Drosophila melanogaster: one gene and its partners. The protein of the gene in region 1 purifies or fractionates together with the protein of each later gene. This does not show direct contact. Each region holds a gene or a part of one and is shown in the gene's direction. Other genes may lie near its edges. The genes, in order: MRP, CG1371, p23 and PMCA.

Region 1 (7,083 bases):
CGCCATGGCCGCGTTGATCTTGGTTGCCTGTAGTTTCGGTTTGATTACCGACTGACCAGGTTTGGATGCACCAGGATTGGTGTTCATAGGTTTGTTTGGTTGCGGTGCACGATTGTCTTGTGGAACCGCCGACTTCTTGACCATTTTGTTTGGAATATCAGGATTTAGATTTCGAGTTTGAGATGTGGTTGACTTGGATCTGGGTTGATTAGGAGTCCCAGCATTGATGCGATCTGGCCCCTTGCCAGGATTTAAATTTTTATTGATTCTACGATTTAAATTAGTTCCATCTTGTATGGGACCCCCAGAATGGGCCACACTTGGAGCAGCTTCATCAGCATTTGGTAGGCGGCTTCGTCTGTTTTGATTGGGACCCATGGGTCTGTTAGAGCTCGTATCGCGGCAACGATTTCCAGAACCCGATCCACGGAGAATAGTGTTTGGATAGTTCGGTGGAAAATTAGGGTTATTTGAGCCTTGGAATGTGTCATCCTCCCTTCGGGGAAAGCGTACGGTGTCACCGCCACGCGAATAGTTGTTTCGCTGATTGAAGTTGTCGTTTAAGTTGCGTCGATCGAGTTCTGGATCAAACTGGCGCCTAATGCCCTCAAAGTTACGATCGTTGCGATTGCGTCCATATGAATTACGATCATCGATGTTATGATCTTGGATGTAGTGTTGATTACCCCTTGAGTGGTAACCCTCATACTGATCATCATTCATAAGTGTATCATTTGTGTCATCGATGAAATCGGCATCATCTTCAAGAAATTCGCGTTCATCGGGTATATAGTCGTCTATATCATGGTGTTCTAGATCTAGATCCTCTTCTTCGTCAGTCCAGTCGGTGCGACGTAGTATTATTTGATTGTCATTCACAATACGCTGATAATTGTGCCTCTTTTGGGGTCCACGGTTTCCAACCTGGTCAGCGTTCACATTACGTGGATATGGTGGTTGTTTTGGATGCGCTTCAGGCGAACGGAATCGATCTCTTGGCAGCTGAATGCCGTCATCGCTTATAGCATTACGATCCAAGTTGGGTTGCTGATTCGAAACGAAGTTCTGATTACCAGGCCTGCGATTGTTGTTTACTTGGGAATGATCATTGTTTGGCATCTGAACACGATAGTTGATCTGGTGATTTGGTCCTTGAAAACGTTGGTTATTAAAGTTTGGGTTCTCGTCAAAAGTTTTGCGATTGAATTGTGCATTCGCATTACGATTGTTATGGTTATGTCCTTGAGGGAATGCTTGGTTGTTAACATTACGAGTATTGCGATTGAATTCATCATTGACTGCATTACGATTGTGATTAAATTCCTGCTCGTTATCATTTCGGATATTACGATTGAATTCATGCGGATAGGCATTACGATTATTGCGATTGAAATCCTGTGGATTTTGATTTCTATTGGGACGATTGAAATCCTGGGGGTTTTGATTTCTATTAGATCGATTGAAATCCTGTGGATTTTGATTTCTATTGGAACGATTGAAATCCTGTGGATTTTGGTTTCTATTGGGACGATTGAAATCCTGTGGATTTTGATTTCTATTGGGACGATTGAAATCCTGTGGATTGGGACGTGAACCCTCATTTCGGTTGAAATTGCGATTATTTTGATTGAATTCACTTCTGTCCATATTTCGATTATTTCGATTAAAGTCCTGCGCATTTGCATAACGATTGCGATTGAACTCAGCAGGATTCATGCCAGGATTATTGCGATTTACGGGTCCACAATTCCTATTGATTGGCTCCCGTTGTTCCACAACTCCGCGATTGTTGTTTGGGAAATTTTCCTCTCTCTGACGATTCCTAGAACGCGATCGATCCTTATTAGCCGGTGAGTTATTCATCCTGGCGCTGTGCCAATCAATGTTCCGCGGCGGCGACGGAGTGCGTGGCCGCGACTCGACGTCGTCGTGGCTAGCCACCGCTTCCTCGATGGCTTGGAGCACCTCCTTGTCCACCACATCCTGGTGACTGTCGCCCAGCTCGACGCTGAGGCGGAACCTCTGGCGCTGGAAATGGCGCAGGTTGAACTTGGGCACATTGAAGGTGCGCTGCGCCAAGGCGTTGGCCAACACCCGACTGGCGCCCAGGTCACGGAGAAATTGGCGCCGATTGTCCAGCTCGCTGTTGGCTATTTTCATGGTACCACATATGAAATTTAAAATTTAAAAAAGCAGACACGTTTTAGGTTAGAGCTATGTGGTCACGTTTAGCAAACCAATTCCAATCTAATCTACTCATGACGACAATGCTCACTGAAAATATGCATACAAATTTTAGTTTAAATCTATAATAGATTTGCTTTGTTTTGCATTTCTTCCCACCCTTTAATTGCTTTAACAAATTGTACAACACAAAAAAAAATGATAATTTCAATTGCATTACTACTTGATTGCCTTTTCAGTCGTTATCAAAATGCTGACTAAGTTTGATGTTTGATTTTTTGTCAATCTATAAACACTAAGCACTGCCACTATCTCATATTTTAAATTAAACATCTAAATTGATTAGATTAGAAATTCTATCACAGAATTCTATTCTATTGGTGTGTACTTTCGAAATGCATAGCAGCAAATCCTGTAGTTGTAGTTGTTAAGAAACTACTCAGTAATTATACATTTATGGCATCAAACACACAATAAACTGATAATCAATAGGTATGGTCATGCTTATACCAAAATCGTGAAGAATTCGCAACCAAACACCCATTAAATGCTCTTAATTGTATGACTACTGTTGATATCGTTATCATTTCGGCCCACTTTTGTTGCTCTTGCGACAACAAAACGTTTAAGAGTCGCGTCGTGTGTCCATTTCGGTTCAGAATAATTTCACCAGAGCAGGAAAATATGTTTAAATCGGCACTTAAAATCAGGAAAGAGAGTCGGTATCTTTCAGCTGGGTTTTATTCTGGACAAACTTGGCATTATTGGAGAGTCGGGTGCTTTGATGGCAGGGGGTTTTAATTGATCGGGCGGCCACCAGGCAGTCAGCGCCACAAAAAGAGCCAAGTTAAACGCTCTCCGAGGTGGCGCTATTATCTCATTTTTGTTGTTTTTTTTTTGAGCACGGAAAGCGCGGAAAACAAATAAGTTTGTTCGCAGCGCTCGCTTCGAATTCAGTTTGCCTTTTTGCTCGTAACGAGCCGGTTGTCCGTCGATTTTGAAGTGCTCCGCCGACGCTGCCCTCCATCCAAATCCAAATAGCGATCCGACCTCAACCGCTACGGCTCGTTTTGTTTCGATTCGATTCTATTCACTCCGATCCCCCACAACCGATTCGTTTGAATCGCAGCGAGTTTTTTTCTACGTAGAGGTAATTATAAGTGACATTTCAGTCGCATCGATACCGCCAACAACAACCACCGCCGTCCATTTTTGATACCCTTGTTGATATGTGGTTGTTGGATTCCGCCAAAGCGGAACAAGTGTGCCAGTGTGCGTTCGTATCTATGTGTTGTGTATCTATCTCTGTGTGTCCACATTCTTTGCCTGAAATTGTGAAATTTCCGAAAGGCTCCAGAATATCCCGCGCAAACATTTCTCAGCAAACGAAAGAAATACGAAAAAAAAAAAAAAGAACTGACGAGAAATCGATGATTCACATTCAAAGTAGTTTGATATGGTTAAGTGTTTTGTCATGCTCGCAGCTCGATTATTTAATTGATAACAGAAAAAGTGTAAAAATTGTGGTGCGCAAGGTTGTCGTACTGCTGTTCGTACGAACAAATTTGAAGTTAATTGCCTCGTGGGTTCCACTGACGTCACAGGCCTTGAAAGATGGCCTACGATCTGTGGGTTCGACAGCTTCTCGCCCAGTCCGATGGTAATCAAGCTCCAAGGACTCAGAATCAGCAGCAAGTGGAGCAAACAAGTGTGCGATTAGGAGCAATATAGGGTTTACGATGTGCAATTCATAACTGGAGCAACGACAAACACAATGGAAGAGTCTAGTAGGGGGACAGCAACAGGCAGCACACACGATAAGGTTCAGCTGTGGGGTCCCCGATAAGGAGCTGCTCGTATAATCATTCTCGCTATGTGGAAGTTGTTTTCTCCAGAGTTTGCACACTTGGCTAAATGCAGCCAGTCAGCCTTATCTCAGCTTTTTCCCTATTAATAAAAGTCATCAAGTGTCGAGTGTCGTTGATATTCTGTAAATAAATCACTCTTCTTTGGCGGTGTAAACAATTTGTGCCGGCTGGCATGATCTGATCCAGAACAAACAAACCGTGTGTGTCAGTCAGGTTGTGAAGAGAGTGGCGTTTTTTGCTGAGAAAATTGTCAGGTTTTCTCCTTGATTTTATGGTGCAGCCAAGAGATCTCCATGCCATTTTGCTTAGCATCTCATCGTGAGTCGACGTTTTTGTTTTTAAAGAGAAATTTCACTTGGGTGTAAAGGCAAAACACACACATTTCGTACAATTGAAATATTAGGTTTTGTAAGGGGGTTTTTTCTGCCGATTGTTTTGTGCTTATATAATCGCTGCGGGAACAGGTTTCGCCGTTAATTATATCGAACTGAAAATACTCGTTTCAGATGTGTTAGAATTTTATCTAAAGTCAAATGGCTTAAAACACATGCGTGTACGGGGCAAACAAGTTTTTGGCGCCCATAAAATGTGACTAGCCCAATACCTTTTATGAGCTCCGTTCAAGATTCGCTTAAAGTTTCTCATTCCTTCTTTTTAGTTGTGTGTATCTCTGTGTAAATTAGTTCTTCTTCGAGGCGGGGAAACACGTTTTAGTCGCTCATTTGTCATTGGCATTGTACAATCTCGCTGGACTATAAACTATCGTTTCAAGTGGGCGCGATTAGACCTTCCTCCAAGTGGCCCTGGACATGTAAACACTTAACTGCCGTAGCGCACAATAACGACGGCTAGATTACAAAACTTCGTACTAACTACCCGCTCAACCCTCTTTTTGTTTCAATACGATAGATAGTTTGTCAAATAATAGTGTGCATAGGAATTAAACTGATTTGTTTGGATAATTGATTTTTTGCCTTTGTTTTGACGAATTATCCAATAGTTAAGTGCAAAATACTAATTAATAACCATTAAAAGATTGGAAATTTGAATATACAAAAAGTGTGCACAAACTATAGTTAACTTACGGAATTAATTAAAAAATTTAGAGCAATTGATTCAATTTTAAATACAAGTAATTCGGATATGTTTTCAATATTCGTAATTGGTTTTTAAAGTCTTGTCGAAGATTCGTTAGGATGGGTTTTTCTGTCCTATGACGTGTTCCATTCGCGTGCGTTTGTTCGCCTTATCGCGGGTTCACTGTACCACCCCGAGCGATTACGCGCAATCGACGTCGACGTGAGATGTTTATCAGGTTGACATGGTTCCGCGCTCGCAGAGATTACTGTGCACACACAAGTGCTAAGTAGACCATAAACCCAGAGTCATGCCTACTACTAGCTGGCTGTAATCTCCGGTTAGATTCTCCGCGCCACCGGCAGCGATTGCTGTGCCATGTGAAGCTCCGGCTGTTGCAATGGACGCCACTTACCTGCGGTCGGCTGGACAATCAGCGAGTCTCGCGGCGGCGGTTTCTGCTGCGGGCCGCTGCCCTCCGGATCGGCGCCTCCAAAGTACTGGTTAATATTGTCCTCAAACTCGTTCTGCATTTAGAAAATGAAAAAAAAAAAAAACAAGTTCATCTTTAGTGGCGCAGATAGTTCCTCACATCGAATTTCTCAAGTTTTGCTTACCCGCACAAAGCGCAGGTTCTGGTCGCGAAAATTGTCGTTGCCCTCAATGAAATTGGAACGACGCGACATTTTGCTGCACGATTTCAATTGCCAGTTACGAGTTAATCCAATGCAAATGCTATTTTTGCGCTGAGCGACGAGCGAAAAACGCAAATTTTATTTGCCAGAATGGAGCTGTCAACTCGATTGAAATGAAAACTAATGTGACAGTGTGAACGCCGGTGGAAAAACATTTAATGCCATGCGATAGGCTAAAAATACTAGATAGGCGTTTTCCCTGTACAGGGTGCTCATTAATAAAAAGTAAATGACAAGAATTTTCGAGAATAATTGCTATGAATTTCTATATGAAACTTTAAAAGCTTAATCCAAATTTAAGAAATTCATTTGTATTTTTGCTGTTGCAAATGCAATTGATTTCTACTTGCTTCTACTAAGTTTTCCAAGCAAATGTATTTTAATAATTTATGTACAAAAATTACAAGTTTCACTTAAATCAATATAAACAATTAAAATAACACGCAGTGCAGAATTATACACTCATTTTCCATCCGACACCCACTGTGCCCGCGAAATACCAGAAAAATACTAGCAATCAACTTCCCACTGTCACGATTAGCGGTTGTTGTAGTTGTGCGGCTTGGGAAGGAACAGCTGTTGGCCCGAAAATATAGATCCGTTTATTTCCTTGCCGCTTTACAGTTACCACATCGCCCGATATAGCATACGCATATAGCCCAATTGCACGTGGAGGAGGTTGCCGAGCAGTCGAGTAACCATGGCGGATGACACTAGTTCGCCGATGGACAGATTCTGCGGATCCACGTTCTGGGTGAGTGCATCAGCAGTGGTGTTCAATCCGAATGCATAGTGTAAATGTATGGTTTCCGTGTGTCCAACGAACAGAACGCAACAGAGACATGGTATACCAACGATCCGGACTTTACGCCCTGCTTTGAGCAAACGGCGCTGGTCTGGACACCCTGCGCCTTCTACTGGGCGTTCGTGATCTTTGACTTTTACTACCTGAAGGCGAGTTTGGACAGGAATATACCGTGGAACAAGCTGAACGTGAGCAAAGCTCTGGTGAATCTGGGTCTGCTGGTAATCACTGCCCTGGACCTAATTATGGCGCTGGTCAAGAAGGGCGGCGACTCTGAGCTGCCGCTCTACGACCTGGATGTTTGGGGTCCCATCATCAAGTTCGCCACCTTCCTGTTGCTCTTCATATTCATCCCGCTGAATCGAAAGTATGGCGTGCAGACCACGGGATGTCAGTTCATCTTCTGGTTCCTGCTCACTGTGCTGTCGATTCCCCGCTGCCGCACTGAAGTTCG
Region 2 (9,277 bases), on another chromosome or scaffold:
GTTGGTCAGCTAATTAGTTTCTAATCGTCTGCGACAAACAGGTAACCACAGGTAGAACTGCTCAGGCCGTAAGAGCGGGGATCGGATGGCACACGCTTCCGGTGCACTTCTTAACCCATTAGTCGTTATCTGTTTTCGCATTGTGCAAGACCACATTTTTATTTATAATTTTCAATGTTCGGAAATGGTAAATCAATGATTTAAAATTATATACATATACATATGTATGTACATTTGTATATACAATAGTTTTTGAAAAGCTTCTATTACTTTTTTGTGTTTTGTATCTTACTTTTTTGTATTACATCATTTGTTTTATATAAATTCAGTTGTGAAAAGCTTAATTAATTATGGAATAAATCGGACGAATTGTTTCAATCTAAGCTCTGAGACCTTTTTGGTTTTATGCAGTGTTAATGAATCTGATTCAATGATCTGTGCAAACATATATGTACATATATCAGCATTGAGCTGGTATGTCGATGTACATGATATTGTAAGATCTAGATATATCACGTGCTTGCACAGAGGGTTAACCATCAGCCTCACTTAATGGAGCACGGCCAAGAAGCAAGACGATCTCGAGGCGATTTTTCAAAGTCAATGCCGGGCAATTGACTTAGCTACAGTACAGACACCCAGTCATGCCATTACACATATTCTCCCCCCATTGAGTAAGTAGCGCTTCTCTTGGGCATTGTTTGGATCGGATCAGACTGGGGAGTTCGGACCCATATATACCGTACTGTGGATTCCTTATGTGCTAGTCGTTTATCGCGCGATCGGCGATGATATTTATTAGACATGCGCCGCAATAGCGCCAACGACGCTTGAAATGAATTTCTTTGCAGCAATATCTCGGGGCCTGAGGCCTCAGATCGGTTTACTGTGGATTGATTCGCACACTCATCCATGTACAAACATAGATACAAATGTACGTATATTCGGGTGTGAGTCTTTATCTTGCATTGGGGTGATGGAAATTGGTTCCGATTATTAATATACGACAAGCCATTATCTGTTTCAGCAGACGAGTGTGTTCAATGTCGATGCCAAATGGCGAGCGCTTAATAATAATTGTATTCACTTTATCGCACTTCTTTTATGGCCCATCCTTAACGATAACTCAGTTAAGATTCCTTCAAAGATATAATAAAATGAAATATGAAGTGAAGAGGTAACATTCAAAATATTTATATCTGATCATCGAAAATGTAAGGGTATTGTTGCTTGTCAAAAATATATAAGTTTATAAAGTAAATTGAAAAACCAAACATAAATAAAGCAAACTGATCTACAATATTTTGAATATTGAATATTAATAATACTATTGTAGATTTTTAATTAAATTGCAAGCTATGTATTATTTATCAAAAGTAACGTGCATTTAAATTTAATAAAAACGATACTAAGGCTTTTGAAACCGTTATTTTAACGGATGCAGTATTTTAAATACTCAAATTTTTATAGTTATATGGTAACTATCGCAAACTGAGTGTGTACATTAACGAACGGCCACACTGTTGCCCGTATTTGTAAGGTGCAGCCCTGGTCACTCTGGGCACGTAGTCAAAATGAGGTTTTTTTCCGGCGTTTTCGTAATTTTATTAATTAAACTTTTCCAAAATGCCAACGCCGGCGAGGTGGAAGTCGTCGGCTGCGGTGGATTCATCAAGAGCCACGCCGAGATTGACTTTTCCCGGGTGGAGATCAAACTGTAAGTAAAAGTTCCCTTTCTGGGATGACCTGATAAGAATTGTGGCGCATGGTGGCCGCTAATTGAATAATAAATTAACTGGCCCGTATGTGATTAACCTAATTCCATCTCGCTCTGCAGGCTGACCAAGCAGGGATCCCTGAAGGACAAGACGGACTGCTCACCCTCTAACGGATATTACTTCCTGCCGATTTATGATAAGGGCGACTACCTGCTCAGCATTTCTCCGCCACCGGGTTGGAGCTTCGAGCCGGAACAGGTGGAGTTGAACTTCGATGGCAAGACCGACGTTTGCAGCCAGGGTCGCGATGTGAACTTTGTGTTCAAGGGCTTTGGCATCACCGGTCAGGTGGCTCTCGCCGCCGGCGGCGGTGCCCGAGGCGTAGACGTGGAGCTGCGATCTGAACAGGGCGAAGTCCGGCGCACAAAGAGCGATGCGAACGGAGTGTTCTCATTTACGCCCATTATTCCCGGTAACTACGTGGTCAAGGCATCGCACGCAAGGTGGCACTTCTCCAAGGCGGAGCACAAGGTGGTTGTGGTTAGCGGCAACACCGAGCTGCCGGCGAACTCTTTGGTAGTCTCAGGATTCGATGTGGTTGGTCGCTTTGATTCCAGCTCGCCGCTTCCTGGAAATCTGGGTGTGGCTCTTTACAAGAAGAAAGGAGTAAGTATAGTTATTTTCTAACACATTTTCTGAAAAGAAAGAACACAAAAATTGTTTAATTTATTTAAAACTGCTGTATACACTTTACATAAATTAAATTAAGTTGTTAACTTAATTAATTATTAACGTTTATCATTATTCTCTTTTTAGCAATCTTTAGTGCCAAAATGTGAGACATCCTCCCCAGCGCCGCCTAATAGTGTTAATAGCGCATACGAATCCGCATCCTCCTGCTTCTCCCAGTTGGACAAATCGGGAGAGTATATTTTCAAGAACGTGCCATCTGGAAAGTACCTGTTGCAAGCTATCAACCTAGATTCCAAGTTGAAGCTGCACTTGAGTCCTGAGCTGTTGGAACTAGAAGTGGGCAAGGATACGCTGCAAATCAAGGACGAATTTAAGATCACAGGCTTCACCGTTTCTGGTCGAGTTCTGACCTCCGCCGGAGGGGAACCGCTAAAGTCAGCTGTTATTAAAGTTAATGGAAAGAAGGTGGCCGAGACTGATGCCCAGGGCTCATATACGTTGGAAAACTTAAAGGCAGGCACAGTCAACATCGAAGTGGAGTCCTCCCAGCTGCAGTTTTCTCCCCTGCAAGTCAAGGCTCAGATCAACACAGCTTCCCTGCCCACCATTGTGCCATCTGCTTATGAGGTGTGCGGAAAAGTAGTGTCGCCGAAATCACATAATGTGGGACTTACCAAGATCGGCTCCACCTTCCACTCGTCGGCTTCCACAAACGCGGAGACCGGAAACTGGTGCGCCTTTCTTCCTGTTGGCAAATATACCATTGAAGTGCTGACGACGGATGCTGACAAGGCCGCTGGAGTGCAGTTCTTCCCTGTTCAGCAGCAGACGGAGGTTCGCGATGCACCCGTCAATGGCATAACCTTTTCCCAGCTGCGCGCAAAGATTCGCGGCGAACTGCAGTGTCTGCCTGATGCTACCGCCACCTGCACTTCCGCTGAGGTCACCCTGCAGGCCTTAGATGCCACCGGTCAGCCCACGGAGAACAAGTGGAAGGCCAGGGCACATCGTAAGTAATTATTATTTAGTTTATGCGTACAAGTACAGCAATTTAACCATAGAAAATATAGGTTTAAATTTAATTATCCTACTTACAAGAAATAACATGCAGTTTTGAGATAACCTATCTTAGAAGGTTTAAAAATTATTCAGCAGAAATGGATATGTGCTAATACTTCTAGTTTCAAAACCATTATTATATTTAAATTAAAAAAGTATCACGAAGTTCACTAGGTAAGAATATTAGTTGACACGGATTTCGTTACCAGTGGCCGCTGATAAGTAATAAGATTACAACAGTAGATAAAGTATCTTTGGCGTGGTGGTTCTGTTTTAATTAAGATGGTCTTCCGACTAACCATGTATCATCCAAAATACCCTATCATCAATCTTATGGTTTTGGATTGTAGGTGGCAAATACGTTTTTAAGGATATGCTTCCCGGTCCCTATGAACTTACAATTCCCCAGGGAAATCTCTGCTACGAATCGACCCGCGTGTTCCTGAACGTTGCTTCTGCTGAAGAAGATGCTCCCCCATTTGTACACAAGGGCTACGAGGTGTCCATTATCTCTAGCCATCGGGCACTGGTAAGTCTGACACTTTAAACGACTTCATATGTATATTAAATGATGTAAACATTCCTTTTAAGATGAAATACACCCACGTCACTGGACCTTCTGAGCCAAAGGCACCTACTGAATCGCTGAAGATTGCGTCAGGAGTGAATACCTTTTGCGTGAAGAAGTATGGTAGCTACGATTTTAAGCTAGAGGGCTGCCACACGTATGATGAATCGTTACCCAGCAAATTCATTACACCAGAACCAGATCAGTTGCAAACACTAATCATTAATGCAGTGGCCCACAAGACTGGCGTTCGAGTTCTGTCTACCGAACCCACTGCTGATTCCATTAAGCTTGTGCTCGAATCTGAATCGCTGGGTCAGGAGGTGATCACACCTGTTGCTGAGTCCCACAAAGTAGATGGCAAGTTCGCCTACCGCTATGACACGTATTTGAAACCGGAACAGGTACTTCGTATTACACCAGTGAGCGATGTCCTACTGTTTGCGCCCCAGCAACACGAAATTGTTGGCAGCAGCGATTGTGTAGATATTGCCTTCAACTTTGTGGCTACCAGAGGTTTGATTCTACGCGGAAAGGTTGTTCCTGCCATTAAGGATGCAAAGATCACACTGTCTTTCCCTGATCAGCCTGAGTTGGAGAGCCTGGAAGTACTCACGTCCGTCACCGGAGAATTTAAGTTTGGCCCAATTGAAGAGTCTCTTGCTTTTGACCTTAAGGCCGAAAAGGAGTCGTACGTTTTCAGCGACTACAACCGCCAGACAGCTTCGTTTAGTGCTCACAAACTCTGCGAGATTTCGGTGGTTGTCAAGGATGAGGCTGGTCAGACATTGGGCGGAGTCCTCCTTTCGCTGAGCGGTGGGGAGAGCTATCGCAAGAACCTCGTCACCGGCGATAATGGAGCTATTAACTTCCACTCCCTTTCGCCATCGCAGTACTACCTGCGACCCATGATGAAGGAGTACAAATTCGAGCCCAACTCAAAAATGATTGACATTAAGGATGGCGAGACTGTTTCTGTTACCCTTGTGTAAGTAAAATTTCTGATCATTCCTCAACATACATATAAAGAAGCATTTCTCTATTTTTAAAGTGGCAAGCGTTTCGCTTACTCGATCTTTGGCACAGTGAGCTCCCTAAACGGCGATCCCTTCGCCGGCGTTAATGTTCAGGCCACAGCCGATAATTCGTGCCCCCAGCAGCCGGAGGAGGCCACCAGCGAGGCGAATGGACAGTATCGCATCCGAGGTTTGCAACCTGGCTGTAGTTACTCCGTTCGCGTCGTTCCCGACAAGGAAATCGTAGAGCGATCTATTCCTGCCCAGCACACGGTTAAGGTGGCCAACGAGGATGTGCGTGACATAAATCTGGTGGCTATTAGCCCCTTGAAGATTGTAGACATCACTGCTAGGGTGACGGCCACACTCAATGAACACTACAAGACGCTGCGCATTGTGATGTACCGCAAAGGAAACTCGGATTCTCCTGTGTTCTCGCAACGTGTGGGCACCCCGGTGAATCCTAAAGCAAGACTGAACCCTGGTATCACCGTCTTCTTCCCTCGCATTCCTCTGGACGGCAAGAGCTACGTGGTAGAACTGCAGTCCACCCTCTCCGATAAAACATATACCTACAAGCTGCCATCGACTACGTTTGTGGCTGACAGGGGTTCCGTGTTCGTTGAGTTGGAGTTCAAGCCGGAGGTGCGCGCCGCCGAAGCGGATCTCAACCAGAATTCGATTTCGGCTCTGGTGCTCATCGCCTTGGTGGCCATTGCCTTCTTTAAGCAGGATCTGGCCACCAGTTTCCTCAGCTTCGTGTGGAGCAAGCTTAACGATGTCGCCGCCGATCTCGCCCAGCGACAGAAAAGCAAGACACAGGTGCGCAAGAACGAGCCAATCAACCAGCGCGAGATTGAACAGATGGCCGACCAGATAAATGCCATCAAGAAGAAAAAGACCAAGAAGATTTAGTTCCGACTGATAGTCGCATTAGTTGTTCAATTTAGTCACATTTCGAGGTATTCGCGGTAGGTATTCATTTGGTTTTTGTTTCTGTGAGATTTTGTTTAACCCTTTTTAATTTGAATTGCATTTAAGAAAACGTTGTAATTTTTCACTTTCCATACATAGATTGAGGCAAGTTTATTTGTGTTCGTTATCCACTCTTATAGCTAAAATAAATAAATACAATTAAATAGATTAATTAGACAAGGCTGTTCTACTGCATCAGGATGTGCTCGGCAATGGAGCTGAGCTTGCGATTCTTGTGCTTGGCTCGTCGCCTTTCGGCTTGGAGGTTGATCTCATTCTGGGAATCCTCAGCGGCAGATTCCTCGGTGACTGCCTGCTCCTCCTGTTGCTGATCAGCCTCCTGGTGTGCCTCCGACTCCGGATTTTCCTCGCCGTTGTCGTTCTCCACGAAAATGCACTCGGGATTGACGGCAGCACACTCGCCAAAGCTGGTGGCCCTGGCCATAGGATTTCTGGCATTGGTGTACTTCTCAAAGAAACCGCGACCCACAATGCGGAAAGCCATGCTGGTCAAGGGATTCAACTTGGATCTAAACTCCATTTCGCAGACAAATCGGCGTCGGCACGCCTTTGAGTCCAGGCCCAAAAAGGCGAACATAAAATCGGCAATCCTAAAGATGAATTTTGAAAATGTTACCTTATATAGTGAATAAGAAACGTTCTGTACTTACTGCTCTTCGGCGGGCATTTGGCGAGCCACGCTCTCTGAAATTTCCTCATCCACAATCTCCACATGCTCTTCCTCCTGCTCATCTTGGATCAAATGGGCGTTATCTGCAGCGCTACGGCGTCCGCGACGGCGCGTGTCTACGGGACCAGATGGGCCACTTGGTCCAGAGGGAGATTCGCTATGGTAGTCGCCATGCACATCAGAGACAATGTCCGATCCAGCATAGCTGCTGTATCCGGAATAGGGCTCGAAACTGGCGCCGGAGTCAAAAGATGAAGGAGCATCATAGTGCTCCGAGTGATCGTGGTCCAGAGAGTAGGGAATGTGATCGTGATGAGAGAAAGACGAAGGACTAAAAAAGAAATGGAATTATTAATAAACCAGTAAGGGACGCAGTTTTGAGAGCTTCTTACGGATGATCAAGGATGATCTCCTGGTTGCACCTGGCATGGGGCCAGAAATAGCGCAGACCCAAGTAGATGGCACTGCCCACAAAGAAGGATACGATCACCACTTTCACCTTGATCCAGTAAGCAATGGCAATGGGCCATAGGTGACGATCTGTAAAGATAATAACAATGATATCGACACGATTAAATAATTTTCCATTGCATCAGATTTGGAAAACTTTCACTGTTCGACTTCTACTTCTACTTTTGAAGAAGGTTTCACGACAATTTATTAACCAATATCTTTGCCCAAGATTGAAAGTGAAAAGTGTTAATTGAGAGCAATTCGTGATCGTCCAGTTTGGATGAGGTGCGTCTGGCTTGGGATTTGAACTGTGCGGAAACTTTCGAAAGAAAGTGGGATGGTTAACGCCCAAGAGATGTGATTATGTTGATTCCGAACGATCAGAATAATTGTAATACTTGCTCGCTAATTGTTATATAAATTAGGCTTTTTGATAACATCTTTTAGTATCTATGTACTGCAAAGTGTCGTGGTGATTATTGTTAGGTAACTTTTATAGGATGTTTCTGTTTAATCTAAGAATTGCAGAGATAGGGTGAGATGTTTACACATTTTGGGAGTTTAAGATAGCTAACTAAAATTATAGTTGTTTTCTTTAAATTAATGTCCGATATTACTTACACCAGAACATGTGGTGACGATGGCGTCGAGTACGTCCCTCAAACTCCATTAGCTCCCGGCCGAGATTTTCCCATGTGTCCTCCACTTGGTTATCCAATTGCGCCGGAGCCTCCTCGTTCTTCGTCTCCTCGCAAAACACCAGCGTGAAGTAGACGACAAGGAGCACAGCTCCGTACCAAATGGTGTTCTTGTGCATGATTGTTTAGCGTTGTAGCGGTGTAAAGAGCAAAAGCTGGTATCCCTGTGGCTTTGGTTGGTCACTGCAGAACCGAATGATGCAGCTCGAAGCCGGGTAGCCGGCTTATATACCACCGGCTATCGGTGATCCGCTCCAAGTTCAGAGTGATAATTGAAGCGTCGTTGTTGTGGCTTTGCGCGCAGATTTTCACACATGCGTATTGCCCGCGATGACGAGTTTAATGCCCAAGACATGCATTTGAAATTTCTTTAAACTAGTGCAATTTCACTTTCATAAGTCGTGCCCGCGTTTCTAGCCACTTTTGTCTTTGGTTCAATTAGTATCCATTACGAAATATGAGCCTACATGTAAGGTAATTGACAATTGGCGATTTTCCCAGAACCGTTTTCAAAAGTTATGTAAAACCCCGCCAAATCGAACCGGTTAAAAAAGTTCTTGCGGGCTATCGGACAAGTTGAGCATATATCGATCTAGAACTTCCATCTCTAATTAAATATTGTAAACATTTGTTGACGTTATTGGTTTTGTAAATAAATGCATCTTACTTAAAGGATGTCCAGCTTAAAGTCAAACGATGTGGACACCAATCCCGCGCCGGATCCCCAGGCGCCCATTACCCGGAAGGGCTTCCTAATGTCGCTTAACACCGGAACACCCATGCCGATTCCCGAGCAGAATCTGGTAAATTAGTTTCCTTGTAGCTAATCTTCATCAGAACATTTGATTTATGCGAATATCTCAGTTTGGCCGCTGTCGTCCTGTCTCCGAATTCGAGAAACTGAACCGCGTTGGCGAGGGCAGCTATGGAATTGTCTGTAAGTTTGGTTCCATATGCATTTAACGCATTCGGTTAACCTGAAATCCCCTGCAGATCGCGCACGTGACACTCGTAGCAATGAGATTGTGGCCTTAAAGAAGGTCCGCATGGATCAGGAAAAGGATGGTCTGCCAATTAGTGGACTCCGCGAGATCATGATCCTAAAGCAGTGCCATCATGAGAATATTGTCCGCTTGCGTGAGGTGGTGGTGGGCAAAAGCTTGGACAGCATCTTCCTGGTAATGGATTTCTGCGAGCAGGACCTAGCCTCCGTGCTAGACAACATGTCGCAGCCCTTCACCGAGTCCGAGGTTAAGTGCATCACCTTGCAGGTGCTTAAAGCCTTGAAATATCTCCATTCGCGCTTTATGATCCATAGGGATCTAAAGGTATCCAATCTGCTGATGACCGACAAGGGCTGCATTAAAGTTGGTAAGAAGATAATCTATATTTAATCCCGATATCGG
Region 3 (6,684 bases), on another chromosome or scaffold:
ACGATATTATTAGCAACTAACTAGCCACCTGTTGATGACATGTAAACCAAAAATTCGGAAATTGGCACCACGTTACCACGACAACAGAACTGACATGTTTTGTCAATGGAATTTCATATTCCACCCGTTATCCGCCTGTAAACCACCTGTTATCCACCCTTTATCCACCTGTTAACTACCTGTTATCCACCTGTTAACTAAATGGATACACCTGTTAACCACCAAACCAACAAACATTGTAAACAAACTCCATGTTACCAAGGCAACATAGCTAAGATGTTAAAATATCAAAATACCAAGTCAACAGTATTATTATCATCTGTTAACCACCTGTTACTCCGCTGTTGTTATTCACCCGATATTCACTTCCTTTCACTTTCGTTGCAGATAACAGGAATTAAATTTGCAAAATGTAAATACTAAATATCAATAAATATCTCTTATTTGTATACAGATTGTAAACAAAAACTTACTCGCTTCCTTATCAACAATCCGTTGCACATTCTACTGATAAGGGTTTTTTATATCTCTGTATTATTGCTCTCTTGATTTTATTGGGATTCTGCCAGTTTTCGTTCGCGATTTAAATCAGTGTGTTTTATAAGTTCCAATTGAGAAGTGTTCCCATAAAATACGCATATGTTTCATGAATCACTGAAGCTGATCTCCCTGATGCTGCTGTGGGTCATTGTGGCTGCGGTTCTGACGGATTGCGAGGCCAGGAGCCTTGTGGACAGGTCCGAAAATTCCGATAGCAATGGTAGCTCGACCAATAGATCCGCGGCAGAGTACCAACTGCAGGAATACGCGGAATTCATGAAATCCTATATGAACCAAAGTGTAGAGCCCTGCGAGAATTTCTACGAGTATGCCTGTGGAAATTATCGGAACGTAAAGCCGGATCGGTACTCACCGGGCAGTAGAAGCAACCTGGGCGACGTGACTTACACACTGATCGACATCACGGAGCAACTGCTGGGCAGAATGGATCTGGCGGAGGCTCTAAACGTATCCAGCGAACTGGCGGTGGCCCAGCGATTCTACAACGCTTGTCTGGGAGCAAATCTCCATCCTTTCAATGCGGCGGATCCCGCTTACTTGAGTCTAATTCGATCGATTGGAGGATTTCCCGCTGTGGATGGAGACGCCTGGAAAGCCTCAAACTTTAACTGGATCAACATGAGTGCTCATCTGGCCAACTATGGCGCCAACGGTCTGATCCGCGAAACTCTCCAGTTAAGGTATCCCTTTGAGCCCTACACCAAACTGCCCGAACTGGGCTTCGATCACATCATCGTACATGAGGAAAACATTTCCAGAAATACCACACGCGCCTTTCGCCTGAACGAAGAGCGAATGCACGGATATCTGAGGGCGTTCGGCTTGCCGGAGGACAGGATTAGGGAGGCCATCGCTGGGGTCTTTGCCTTCTGGCGGGACGCACTCGAGATCCCGCCCCAGTGCGAAGTGTTTGATCCCTACCGAATTAAGCGAGTGTTTCCCCAATCGGAGTACTACTATAACATCTCGTGGAGTGGACTCCACTCCACTAACAAATTATTCTGCGACTTTTACTACGTTGAACTGGACAAAGTATGCGCCCGACATCGCAAGGCTGTGGCCAACTACCTGGCCATGAAGCTGCTCTATAGATTCGATCCCAAACTGAAGGCGCCCAGGTACCAAAGGAACTACTGTTCGGTTACGCTTTATCAATCCATGCGGTTTCTGTTCAACAAACTCTACATGGCTGTGGGTAACGAATGCGTATGATGAGAATACCAAATAATCTCAACACTCTTGTGTTACAGAACAACTTCAGTGAGGCGAAGAGGCTGGAGATGTCGGAAATGGTGCGGGAACTGCGAAAGAGTCTGCGAAAGGCGCTGGAGGATGCCGATTGGCTGGATGCGGAGAGCAGGGCGAGGGCACTGCTTAAGGAGTCCAGAATACAGCCACGCATTGGTTCGTTCCAAGATGATGCACTTTCGGATCGAATAATCCGGGAAATCAACAGTCTGAAAGTCATCGAGGATCGCTATGCGGAGACCAACATTAATTTGCAGCACCTAGTTGTACAAATCAATCGATTTAGCAGTCGGCATTTTCAGGAGCTGACCAATGACACCAAGCCACAGAAGATCCTGACAGGATTGCAGGTTGGAGCGGGCTACTACACTCCGGACAACTCCATTAATGTGATGGCTGGCGTGGTGGAACCACCGATATACCAACGCCACCTGCCGATTTCCCTGAAATTCGGCACATTGGGTTTTATCGTTGGTCATGAACTCATCCACGGCTTCGATACGACCAGCTCCTATTTCGATGGCAATGGTCACATGGAGTCCTTGTTGTCGGAAATTTCGCAACAGGCATTAGAGGATCGCGCCGAGTGCTACATGGACTACTATGGCAAGTACCAGGTACCGGAGATCAGCAGGCGTGTCAACGGAAAAACTACACTGGACGAGAATATCGCAGACAATAGCGGATTAAGACAAGCATTGACGGCCTATCGCAGTCACAGGCAGCAACTGCTGGAGCATCCTGGGCAGGAGAGGATAAGCGACGCCATGCCGGGTCTCGATCTCACGCCGGAACAGTTGTTCTTCCTGGGATTTGCCCAGCTATTTTGCTCCCATTACGAGGAGGAGCACTACTGGAAAGGTCTTAGCGATGTGCACACCTTCGACCAATTTCGTGTCCTGGGAGTTTTGTCCAACAGCGAGGACTTCTTCCACGCCTACAACTGCTCCGTGGGCAGCGGCATGCGTCCTGGCGCCAAAACGTGCCGACTTTGGTAGATCATAGATTTATAATCATCATCATAAATTCCTTGAACCAAATAAAAGTTGATTTCAATACTTTTTACCGACAATGTAAAATGTTTTGACACAACACTTCAAATTTACGTTACACGTAACAAGCTAACATTTGTGGTTTGAGTACAACTATCGAAGTTTCGCACCCCAGAGCACCGTTCAAATTTAGTCACATCTCCGCAGCGCGCTCGGTAACTCTGTTTCTCATGTCAATTTTGTGCATGACAATTTTGTTCAACAGAAACTGCCTTTTTTTGTAACCAAGTCAGGCTGTCAGTCAGAAGTGTTCCGACTTCGTAAAACATAAACCAACAATTCACAGCAACAACATAATGTCGGCAGCAGCAGGGTGAGTCCACAACCGGCCATCTCAGTGCCAATCGGCGATAGCCGGACCATCTTTTTGTGGCTTCTTTGTGCGTCGCGTGCTTTGTCGTTGCGGCGGCGTCCATTTTCGAACTCCCGGCCGTGAAAAACACATAATTTTCGTTCGGATGACCCTTATTCTCGCGCTCATCCGCCTGGCCAAGCGTTTGTGTCCACGGTGGGCGTGTCCTGTGCGCATCTGCATTGCGATATTTGTGGAACTAATCGGAGGGTCCAGTGTTTGAGGTTATGTTTTCGGCTGGCGGTAATGCCGTGCATTTTCGGCATGGACTTTTGCCTGGGCTTATGGTTTATGCAAATCTAGCTAGCTGGGAAGCTATTTACATAGTTCGTGCACCCGCTTCCAGAAAGTCCGACGCGAGTTGCCATGGCAACGGATCTCGCACAACGACATGAAGCTCTTATTTATGTTTATCCAACTTGATCCTCCATTGCAGCTTGATTCCGCCTCCAGTTTCCTGGGCCCAGCGCAATGACTTGATCTACGTCATCATCGATGTCGAATGCAAGGACATCGAACACAAGTATATGCCCCCATATGTAGTATGTCCATGCTCCTTGCACATCCTAATTCCATATATTTATCCCAAAACAGAGTTACGGAAAAAACCTTCACCTTCAAGGGCGTAAACGTGCTGGATCCGTCGAAGAAGTACGAGGTCACACTGAACTTCCTCCACGAGGTGGATCCCGAGAAGGTGACCAGCAAGAACATTGGCCGCTGCCTGGAATTCACAATACCCAAGAAGGCGGCCGGTCCCTACTGGTCCTCGCTGACCACGGACAAGACCAAGTTGCATTTCCTAAAAGCCAACTTTGCCAAGTGGCGCGATGAGTCCGACGACGAGGAGGGTAAGTTGACATCCTCATCCCCAAGATCTCATCCAGCAAACCCACTCATACAAACGCACTTTGCAGGTGACCAAAAAGACAACAGCATGTTTGGAAATTTCCTTAACAGCCCTGGTGGCGATTGGAACAACAAGTTCGACGATTTCAACGTCGATGACGAGGAGGAGGACTCGGATGACAACATCCCAAGTCTGTCCCAGAACGACGAGGATGACGAGGAGGGCGGCGAGGGTGATAAGGAGAAGAAGCCAGCTGCCTAGACGGTCGCTCAGATGGTGTCTCGCAATTTGGCGTAGTCGTAGCGTTAGGCGTGGCTCTTATACCATAAGTCAGCACACGATCACAACACTCACTCCTCACATACACACCAGAAAAGAAAAAGAAGAAACACTCAATCACTCATAAAACATCCACAAACGCATGCGTACATGAAACACTATTCCAATCGAAGAAAACCACATTTAATATACCTGAATATTATGCGTATTCAGAGGAGAGATGTTAACAAAAAGCAACACAAGGAACAAGATGATTTGGCGCCGACAAGGGAAACCATAAGTTTTACGCTAGAATTTAACAACCAGAGGAAAGCTACAACCAATTTATTGCAAAAATCAGTTTGCAGTTTATTATTTTTGTTTCCTGTAAATAAAGGAAATTAACAATAAAAAAAATGAAAAACTTATATTCGGCTTTTTATTTTCAATATTTTATAAGTTTACAACATTCTATAAATGTTCTAGAAATCTCTAAACTGTTAAATTCGGAATGCGCAGTCCAGCTTCTTAAAGATGTCGCAAAGAAGGCTTTATCTTTGAATAGATAGCGATTTTAAAAAGAAATTATAGGTAATGGTTAAAAATTGTTTATGGGTAATCCCCTAGAATTTGGGTTTAAAATTAACATAGGTATTTTTTTCTTTAAATTTTGCGCCCACTTAAATGAATTTTGTTATGTTGGCAACACTGTTGCTGTGACAACGCGGGAAAGAAGAAGCACAATTGAAATGCAAAGCAAACAAACAGTTATCACTCGAAATAAAGGACTTGCTGTCAAGCGATAGAACGGAAAAGCAAGGTATAAGATTCCCCTCAAAACGATACCATGAAACCCGCTGCGATTCCGGCTAGCGAGCGGCGTCTGGCCTTCGTGGCCGAGTGGTTCCATGCAGAGGCTGGAATCATACGCACCTTTCTGATCACCTACTATGTATCCGACAAGGCCGTGGAAGTGGTGAGGATTGGTAGCACAAGTTCTTCAAAGAAACACATTTAACCAAGGCCATGTTTTCCCTCAGTTCGACCAGCGCAACAAGCGCACATTTCTGCGACGCACCAAGATCCCGGAGCTGACCCAGCGCGACTTCTTTGTGGGCTCCAAGATCAATGTCTTTGGCCGGCAGTTTGACATTGTGGATTATGCTGACGACACTACGCGGACAAACCTAGCCAAATATCGCAAGAAGTATGTTCCTTCATCGACAGCTATCCACTCGCTAATCTGTAATTCCCATCTCTTTCAGGGGATTCGTTTTGCTCAAGAACAATATGTGGACGAAGCACCTGGGCAAGTTCCTAAAGACTCTGATCGACAACAAGATTAACATAAACCAGGGCATGATGGTTCAGTTCTCTCCCAAAATGGTAACTCAGTTTCTGTCCGGCAAGGACACGACGGATGTCTCCTCTTCGTGAGTAAAGATGGCATGCCAAGGAACACATCTTATCCTCTAAATTCCAGAGTCCTTATGAACGAGCTGCTGGCTGGTCCGGCCATTAGTCTGGAGCTAATCGGCGACAACGTAGTGGAGACCATCAAGGCCTGCGCCCAGTACAAGAGCACAGAGGCGGAAACACCCAGTGTGAAACTGTCGCCCAGTTTGGAAGAGCTGTTTGAAAGTGAGGAGATTCGTTATGGATTTTACTACTCTGATAACGACAACGACGTGGAAATGGACCTAAAGTTCATATCTGAGGCGAGGCACAGCATAATTAAAGAATGTGTATTCAAGAATACAACACTTGCCATCATTAAGCCGCACAGCATCAAGGATGGTCTCCTGGGAGACATCATTTCCGAAATCCTGTCGAATGGCTTTCGGTTGACAGCCATGCGCATGATTCTAATGGCCCGAATCAACTGCGAGGAGTTCTACGAAGTCTACCGCGGAGTGGTGCCCGAGTATATACCCATGGTTGCTCAGTTGGCCAGTGGAGTATGCATGTGCATGGAGATTGCTTGCGCCGATCCCGAAAAGAAAACTGATCGCGAGTTCCGCAACTTCTGTGGACCCATGGATCCGGAGATCGCCAAACTGTTGCGGCCTCACACGCTGCGCGCCAAGTTCGGCAAGTCCAAGGTGCAGAACGCCGTCCACTGCACTGATCTGCCAGATGACTCCAACCTGGAGCTGCAGTATATGTTCAAGATAATCGACTGATCTTAGTTTAGTTTTTATTTGTTTTCAGTTAAATGCATGTTTGCCTGTGTGCGTTTATCAATAAATTACAAGTGCAATGAAAATACTAGACCGTAGAAACTTCTCCTATATGCTCCCGCTGCGGCTGGTGCTGGGCACATCCCGGTCCTCCGCTTCACTGTCCATCCTCACATACATTCC
Region 4 (7,554 bases), on another chromosome or scaffold:
AGACAGCTACAAATTAGGTTTGCATTTCCTTTCACGGTGCGTAGTCCATCTGGGAAATTAAAATTTAAATATATTATTACGATTTAAAGACACTTATTTAGTTCTTAGCTTCATAAATGCAAAACCTTTCAAAACAAAAACAAAGCATCCGACAAGATTTTAAAACCCACAACTATTACTTGTAGTTTAACTTCTGCGATCAAAGCACTGAATTTCCTCAAAATACAGTTTAAATCGAGTTTTTAAAGTTTGAATAAATATGTTTAAAAATGATTACCATATACTAAATATGAATGCATTAAAAACAGCTAGTACAAAGGTATGCTGATACTTAAAGGAGTATTTATATACCGAATGGCTTTGTGCTTATGTGTTTCCTTTAATTGTAAAATACTAAAAACCCAAAGGCATTCTCTATGTAATGCACAATTTATTTTGGCCTGGCAATGCTGGAACTAGACGCTTCCCTATAATGGATTAGGTCTACGCGCAAAAACTTTAACAAATCAGCCAATCAAATCTTGGAAAATAATTGATATTTGAGAGATATTTTATATGAAGTTCATATTTAAATGCTATACGACAATTTTCACTTTTAATGTTCAAAAAGACAAACACTATTAAGAATTATCAAAATTAAAAGCCGAACTGAGACCTCACACACGCAATTACTTATTAGAGGTGAACTTACAGAAGAAAAATATCGATACATAGATTGCTTAAGCTAAAATCTGAACATTGCCCACTTATTTGACCGCAAAAGCGGAAACAGTATATAAGCGTATTTTACAAAATTAGCATTCCACTATGTTTCCACTGCAGAAAAAATATTTGAAGATATTATTACTTTTTAATAGAAACTTAATAATTTTATAACAGCTCAACAGAAATGAGTTCATACGCAATGGAACACACAAATAATTTGAAGTCTAGAGAATTTTTCTTTTATAAATCTAGATAGGGATTGTTGTTACATAAGTTAAGTGAGGTTTAGTGTCGGAAATAATGTTTACTTTGACGATCATTTTCGAATTAATATTTGTGGTGCGAATATGAATCAAATCATATATAAATGATATACATACATATATGTATATACATACATATACATATATACAATAATTTCTGGACAGGTCGTTGTTTGTACTCTTCTAATTCAATCGATGCAAAGTGCAAAAGCGAAACAAGGACATGCTGGTTCTCAAAATTAATGGTCCGTAGGGTATTGAAAAGAATGAAAAAGGTTTTATACTTTTCAAGGAATTTTGTACACCCTATTACTCTACAAATAAAATATGTAGTTTTCAACGAGTTTTATGCATTATACATAATGTTTGGGTGTTTTAGAATAGAGAGTATAGAATGTTAAATGTATATATGTAAATGCTTTAACAATATTCCTATGGTATATGTAAACTCGTTCCGATTTCTTGGTTTCAGAAGTATGGACTTTATTAATAAATAATAAATTATGTATTGGCTTTTAACATGGTTTTGTTTTATGTGATAGTGCCAATCAATATATTTTTAACACAATTACATTTATATTTTCCGAGTGTAAAGAAACGTTTATGCTCTTATCTCATAAGAAGGTGATCGTCGCAGTACTAACGTAAGATAGGCAAGCAAAAGATAAGTTGATGCGACAATTCAGACAAACAGCTGGACAGCTATCTTTCAAATACTTCTCTTTAAATAACTGTGGCGCTGAGATTTTGCCGCAGTTCAGTGTAAACTTATATGTAGGCATAACCGATTTTCTAACATTTTAACTAAAAAGAAAAGTGAAGAGGTATTACGACGTAAGAGAGATATGCTACACGAACATTTGTGCTAGCGCGGCGTAATAAAATAATTTATTTTTACACTACATGTGAAAATACATCGATATTAGAATATTACAGTTTTGTGAAAACTAAGTGATTTCGATAGTAAAAGTTTGATATATCGATATATATTTCCCTGTGGAAAAATAAATACTGCTGAAAAGGAAGGCGTCACAGTGTCAGTACTTTATATTAAATATTTCGCTATATATTGTGGCGTTTAACTTGAGTCGTGTACAATTATTTCGCCTTCTAGTTGTGTACGTATTCCAAAAAAAATGCAGTTTTTAACAGTTAAACGAATGGGTACGCAAAGGAATGTAATGGGGCCAGGAAATGAACATGATATCATTTTATATTGTATGTTTTCCGAACATACGCTGTTCTCGAAATGAAATTAAAGCTGAAAGTTACTGATAGAGTAGCCCAGAATCAAATCCAAATGTGTACAATTTTCATTTGCTCGAAGGTTCATCATATTACTCCATGGTCAATATGGCCAACACCAATTCATATGTATGTATGTAGCTCTTGTCGTGACATGACGTAAGATTTCTGTTGGTGAAGAGAAGGTGGGGTGCACTTCCTTTGAACAAGTCTCGAATATTTCAATGAATTTGAATTGATTGGGTTTATAATACTTTTACCCTGAGTATGTTTATGTTTTTATTAGGAAATATAGAATCAACGGTATAGGATACATTTCCTGTGCACCTGTTCATTTACTGTGTGTTCATATCAAAAAATTCATGTGCACGTACTATGTGTGTACTATATATGTAAATTTAACATGTGCAAAAAATAGAGTGAGGCCCAGTTACCGACTAGCATGTAATTGTTGCAAAAATTTTGGCCAATGGCTCGAATATTTGTCAACTAGAACTAAAATAGATACATGTAAAATGACTTCCCTGACGTACATACATATGCGTGAATTTATTCTATTTATGGAAATCGTTCACACCTCATCAATATGAAAACTTTTAGTTTAGTACAATTGTGTAAATGAAAACAGTGTTTTTATACCCATTACTAGTAGAGTAAAAGGTATAATAGATTCGCTGAAAAGTACGTAACAGGCAGAAAAAAGCGTTTCCGACCATATAAAGTATATATATATATCCTTGATCAGGATCAATAGCCGAGTCGATCTATGAACGTATGAATCCAGATCTCAGGAACTATAAAAGATGTTTGAGATTCGGTATAAAGATTCTAAAGCCGCAGAGCAAGTTTGTTGACTCACTTTAATTTTTTCTCATTTTATTCCACACTATCTATCTATATGCCAAATTTTACGCTCGCATTTCCGCTAGCTGAGTATAGGATTCTGTCTTGTTTAATAAGTGAATCGGAAATTTAAAGAATTAATACAAATTGGATGTTAGGAACATCAAAATTGACTTGTTAGTTAATTTAAACTATTTATGTCTTTCCTTCTCGCAAGTTCTGTTCTATTACGTGATGATGAAATTTCCGAATCGATCAACTTGTTCCACTGAAGAACTCTGAAAACGCCGCAATCTTTTGAACCGAGTATCAGATTCAGAATTGAAAGCTTTCAATAAATTTCAATAAAATAAGATAACTTATGAAACAGGTATACGTTTATGTTCTTCGTAAATTTTGCATCGAATTTAAAATGTAATTTAAACTATCAGATGACCGTTACTCAGCTAGTCCAAGTGGAAATATCGGTAGAAATTGGGGAAATAAAATTTATTTTATTGCTCTAAGATGAGGACGGGATTAATTTGGGCGGTTTTTAGGGGTCAGAGTGGGCGTAGACAAAATGGTTTCGGCGTATCGATAGAAATAGCGAAAACAACTGATTTAGTCCAAAAATATTAAATCATTTCTCAAAGATAAAAATTTTTTTGGCAAATCGATTAAAATTTACAAGACCTAATAATAATATGAAATTTTAAAAAAGAGTTCGCGTGGCAGTTTTGGGTTTGTGGGCGTTAGAGTGGTCGTGCCAACATCGGTCAACAAACTTGTGTTGCGTATATGCCTCTCACAACCTTCTAGCTTTTAAAGTTTCTGAGAACAGACAGACGGGCATGGTCAGTTCGACTCTGCTACTAATCCTGATCAAAGAATATATACTTTATATGTTTGGAAACGCCTTTTGCCTGTTACATACTGTTCAACGAGAAACGGGTGTAAAAAGCTTGACTGTGTAGTCGAGATTGACTACTCAGTCAAACCATTGTGTAACTTTCTTGCTAGAATATGATATATAAATATGAATCATAAATAAAAAAATTTCTTAGGATATCTTTGTGAACTCAACTATGCCAAAGACACTAGAATATTTGACTATGCTATGCTAAAGTTTTTACATAATTCGGTCAAAATTGATTTTTAATAGTATTATGCCATTGTCTTAATCAGATTGGAAGCTTATCGTTGACAAAAATAAGATTATTTAATAACAATTTCCTGGAAAGAAACGAATCGGATCGATCTACTTTTAGCTAGATATTTATTGCATTATCTTGAACACGGCAATGCGTCACACACGTTCCTTTTTTGTATGACAACAGCTTACTAACAAGTAAATCTATTGTTTTTATAAATGATCAATAACTAAGTGCCATTTTAGCACTAAGAATTACACGTTGAAAATTGTCATGTTGTCTGGCTTCTAAAATAAGTCAATTTGAATAGAGATTTCTTAATTATATTAGTGTATGCGCAGCTCTCAGAAACTGCTCACAAAAATTGCATGGCACACTTTTATATATAGACAACTGATCCGCATTTCCCAAAAACCGCGAAGTTCGTTCAAATTGTTACGTACATATATACAGTTACGGTTTGAAAGAAATTATATGGTCAACGGATCCATTGTCAGTAGATACAAAAATAACTTTCAATTTAGTACGCAATTTAAGACTAGTGCGATTTATATATTGTATGTTGACAAACAAATTCACTAAAGCAAAGAATCCGTGAAATGAGACCACAGTTATATTTTCTTTTGCCTTCGTGTTCTACTAAATCCACATTATTTTCATTACCTTTTATCACACATAAAAATTTGGCGCCTACCGCGATCGTCGGTGTCTCGGCAGAGCGTTTTACCGTTTGTCTTGGTTATCTAGCGGTGTAGTGCTCTCGACTTTTTAATAAATTCAAATTTCAGATACTCGAAAGCAAAAAATATATACATACATAAATGGTCCATTTGCATATCTTCCTATTACTCCCTTGCGCGTTAACTAGAGAAAATATTCGTTGGGAAGTACTTTTAAAAATAAAGAAATTATCTGCGCTATCTAGATGTTAGGCTTCTGTTGAATTTATACATTTTTAAATACAGATAAGACCATAACAAATGGCCACTATAGATGGAAGACCGGCGCAATATGGAATTTCACTTAAACAACTGCGCGAGCTCATGGAGCATCGTGGTCGTGAGGGTGTAATGAAGATAGCTGAAAATGGTGGCATTCACGAACTATGTAAAAAGTTATACACATCTCCCAATGAAGGTAAGTTTTTCTCTATTTACAATATTAATGTATTTAATTTATATTGAGTTTACTTTTACAATACTTTAATTGAATTACCATAAGGCCTAAGTGGATCGAAAGCTGACGAAGAGCATAGACGTGAAACATTCGGTTCCAATGTTATACCACCGAAGCCACCAAAGACCTTTTTGACTCTAGTCTGGGAGGCTCTTCAAGATGTGACCCTTATTATATTAGAGGTAGCTGCATTAGTATCGCTTGGTCTATCATTTTATAAACCCGCCGACGAGGATGCGCGTAAGTAGTTCAGTTTTGTGGTCCGTAATAAAATATTGTCTTTTAATATTGTTTTTTTTTACAGCTGTGTTGCAGGAGGAGGAAGAACACCATGGTTGGATTGAAGGATTGGCCATTCTTATTTCTGTTATTGTCGTAGTTATAGTGACAGCATTTAATGATTACTCTAAAGAAAGACAATTTCGAGGTCTGCAAAATCGTATAGAGGGCGAGCACAAGTTTTCAGTTATTCGAGGAGGAGAGGTGTGCCAAATATCAGTTGGTGATATTCTTGTTGGCGATATTGCTCAAGTTAAATATGGAGACTTATTGCCGGCTGATGGGTGTCTTATTCAAAGTAACGACTTAAAGGTAAGTTAAGAAAAAACGTAGATATAGACTATTTTATCAGTAAAGTATTTGTGAAACAATTTGTAATATAAAGCGCGTGTCTCATTTATATTGACGGTGATAATTTTTCATTCTGTAGGTGGACGAATCTTCTCTGACTGGAGAGTCTGATCACGTCAAAAAGGGGCCAGATGTTGATCCCATGGTTTTATCCGGCACGCATGTTATGGAAGGAAGCGGCAAAATGGTTGTTACAGCCGTAGGGGTAAACTCACAAGCTGGTATAATTTTTACGCTCCTTGGTGCGGCAGTTGACGAACAAGAAGCAGAAATTAAGAAGATGAAAAAGGGTTAGTACAATTGAAATAACATAAAATAAAATTTTTTATGATTTTTAACCACGTAAATAACCACGACTCTATAAATAAGATCCTACCTATGTTGTTTTGATACATATATTTGTCGTTAGGATGTAATTTATATATTTATTTTTTATTTTCTTTTTTGTTGGTATTTTTTCATATTCCAATTGTTCACATATTCCATATGTGAATTCCATGACGTGAATCGATTGACCCATCATCTTCCATCAACCCAATCAACCAACCAACCTGTCAACCAACCAATCAAATATAACCTGCAACCTACCACAACACAACCAACCAATGTCTTCAACAAATAAAACCATAAAATATATGGTTTCAAAATGTTGTCGATCCCAGAAGCGAAAAGGGCCAACAAGCAAAAGAATCTGACAGGTGAATTTTTGCATAATACTTATTTTTATTATTTCGCAAAGCAACAAACACATATTTTTCGAGCAGAATAGTATACTGACGAAAATACAATAGGCACTTCTACTCACCACGTTTTGTTATCAATAATGATGTTTAAGAGCACTATAATTACGTTTCTATTTTGATATATTTTTAATGATTGCTTTGTATCTTTTTTCGATGATCTTTCAAAGAGAATTACAATTATTACTTTTATAACAGTATTATTATAAAAACCAGTTTTAACGGTTTTTTCGAAATTGTTTTATATAAAAATCCATTCTTGCCAAAACGATCGGCTTAAATCAATACAGACTATTGTTACAGCTAACTTTTGTTAGCCGGCGGGCCTGAAAGGGGTCACCAAGGTGACAAAGGGGTTTTCAGCTACTCCGTATGCCTTAAAAAAATACACTCTATTGCAATATTAACGCTGAAGTGACTTTAGTAACTGGTTTTAAATGATCCTTTATATACATTCTCGTTGCCCCAAATAAAACAGCTGACTATAATTTCTTCTTAAAATTCCGCATAATTCCGTATAATAGTAGGAATGGCTTTTCTCAAATAGTGTTAGCAACTTCTCAGTCATAAGTGCAGAGGAATAATTTTCGGTTTTTAAGCTTAGTACAAAACTCTCTTCATATAACGGTTGCCTTTAAATTTAAATATTTATTTCATTGACAAAAAAAAATTGTAACTCAAATTAAATTCCATACCCGTTCATCTTGTTAAAACAAGATTTTGAAGGCCATTTAAAATTAAATTTTTTTCAGACTATCTGTCTGCAATACAAAGTTATTTTACTGACTTTACATATTATTAAATAAAAATACAATCTAA

The links.
Region 2: the proteins of MRP (region 1) and CG1371 purify together in Drosophila melanogaster (affinity purification with mass spectrometry, with the first as the bait; one large-scale study listed by BioGRID). This does not show direct contact.
Region 3: the proteins of MRP (region 1) and p23 purify together in Drosophila melanogaster (affinity purification with mass spectrometry, with the first as the bait; one large-scale study listed by BioGRID). This does not show direct contact.
Region 4: the proteins of MRP (region 1) and PMCA purify together in Drosophila melanogaster (affinity purification with mass spectrometry, with the first as the bait; one large-scale study listed by BioGRID). This does not show direct contact.

The regions. Positions count from the first base shown.
Region 1 is NT_033779.5:12,715,907-12,722,989, forward strand, and holds the start of MRP (Multidrug-Resistance like protein 1), read left to right. Parts: upstream 1-3,138; 5' UTR 3,139-3,334; intron 3,335-5,544; coding exon of another isoform or gene 5,545-5,656; intron 5,657-5,746; coding exon of another isoform or gene 5,747-5,815; exon of another isoform or gene 5,816-5,937; intron 5,938-6,366; exon of another isoform or gene 6,367-6,448; 5' UTR 6,449-6,524; coding exon 6,525-6,578; intron 6,579-6,652; coding exon 6,653-7,083. Other genes in the region: Pih1D1 (PIH1 domain containing 1), read right to left, coding at 1-2,150, 5,545-5,656, 5,747-5,815.
Region 2 is NT_033778.4:10,067,903-10,077,179, reverse strand, and holds CG1371 (uncharacterized protein), read left to right. Parts: upstream 1-1,534; 5' UTR 1,535-1,574; coding exon 1,575-1,717; intron 1,718-1,837; coding exon 1,838-2,384; intron 2,385-2,534; coding exon 2,535-3,420; intron 3,421-3,820; coding exon 3,821-3,999; intron 4,000-4,061; coding exon 4,062-5,026; intron 5,027-5,089; coding exon 5,090-5,969; 3' UTR 5,970-6,199; downstream 6,200-9,277. Other genes in the region: CG12920 (uncharacterized protein), read right to left, coding at 6,217-6,640, 6,701-7,051, 7,113-7,260, 7,795-7,990; Cdc2rk (Cdc2-related kinase), read left to right, coding at 8,546-8,674, 8,736-8,808, 8,865-9,242.
Region 3 is NT_033777.3:9,674,913-9,681,596, forward strand, and holds p23 (p23), read left to right. Parts: upstream 1-3,014; 5' UTR 3,015-3,157; coding exon 3,158-3,174; intron 3,175-3,649; coding exon 3,650-3,736; intron 3,737-3,807; coding exon 3,808-4,064; intron 4,065-4,130; coding exon 4,131-4,324; 3' UTR 4,325-4,746; downstream 4,747-6,684. Other genes in the region: Nepl12 (Neprilysin-like 12), read left to right, coding at 640-1,752, 1,812-2,807; nmdyn-D7, read left to right, coding at 5,169-5,297, 5,362-5,528, 5,587-5,754, 5,805-6,504; CG9444 (uncharacterized protein), read right to left, coding at 6,610-6,684. UniProt on the Drosophila melanogaster protein: Cytosolic prostaglandin synthase that catalyzes the oxidoreduction of prostaglandin endoperoxide H2 (PGH2) to prostaglandin E2 (PGE2).
Region 4 is NC_004353.4:353,082-360,635, reverse strand, and holds the start of PMCA (plasma membrane calcium ATPase), read left to right. Parts: upstream 1-1,978; 5' UTR 1,979-2,086; intron 2,087-5,154; 5' UTR 5,155-5,169; coding exon 5,170-5,326; intron 5,327-5,410; coding exon 5,411-5,605; intron 5,606-5,669; coding exon 5,670-5,956; intron 5,957-6,074; coding exon 6,075-6,285; intron 6,286-6,657; coding exon 6,658-6,693; intron 6,694-7,554.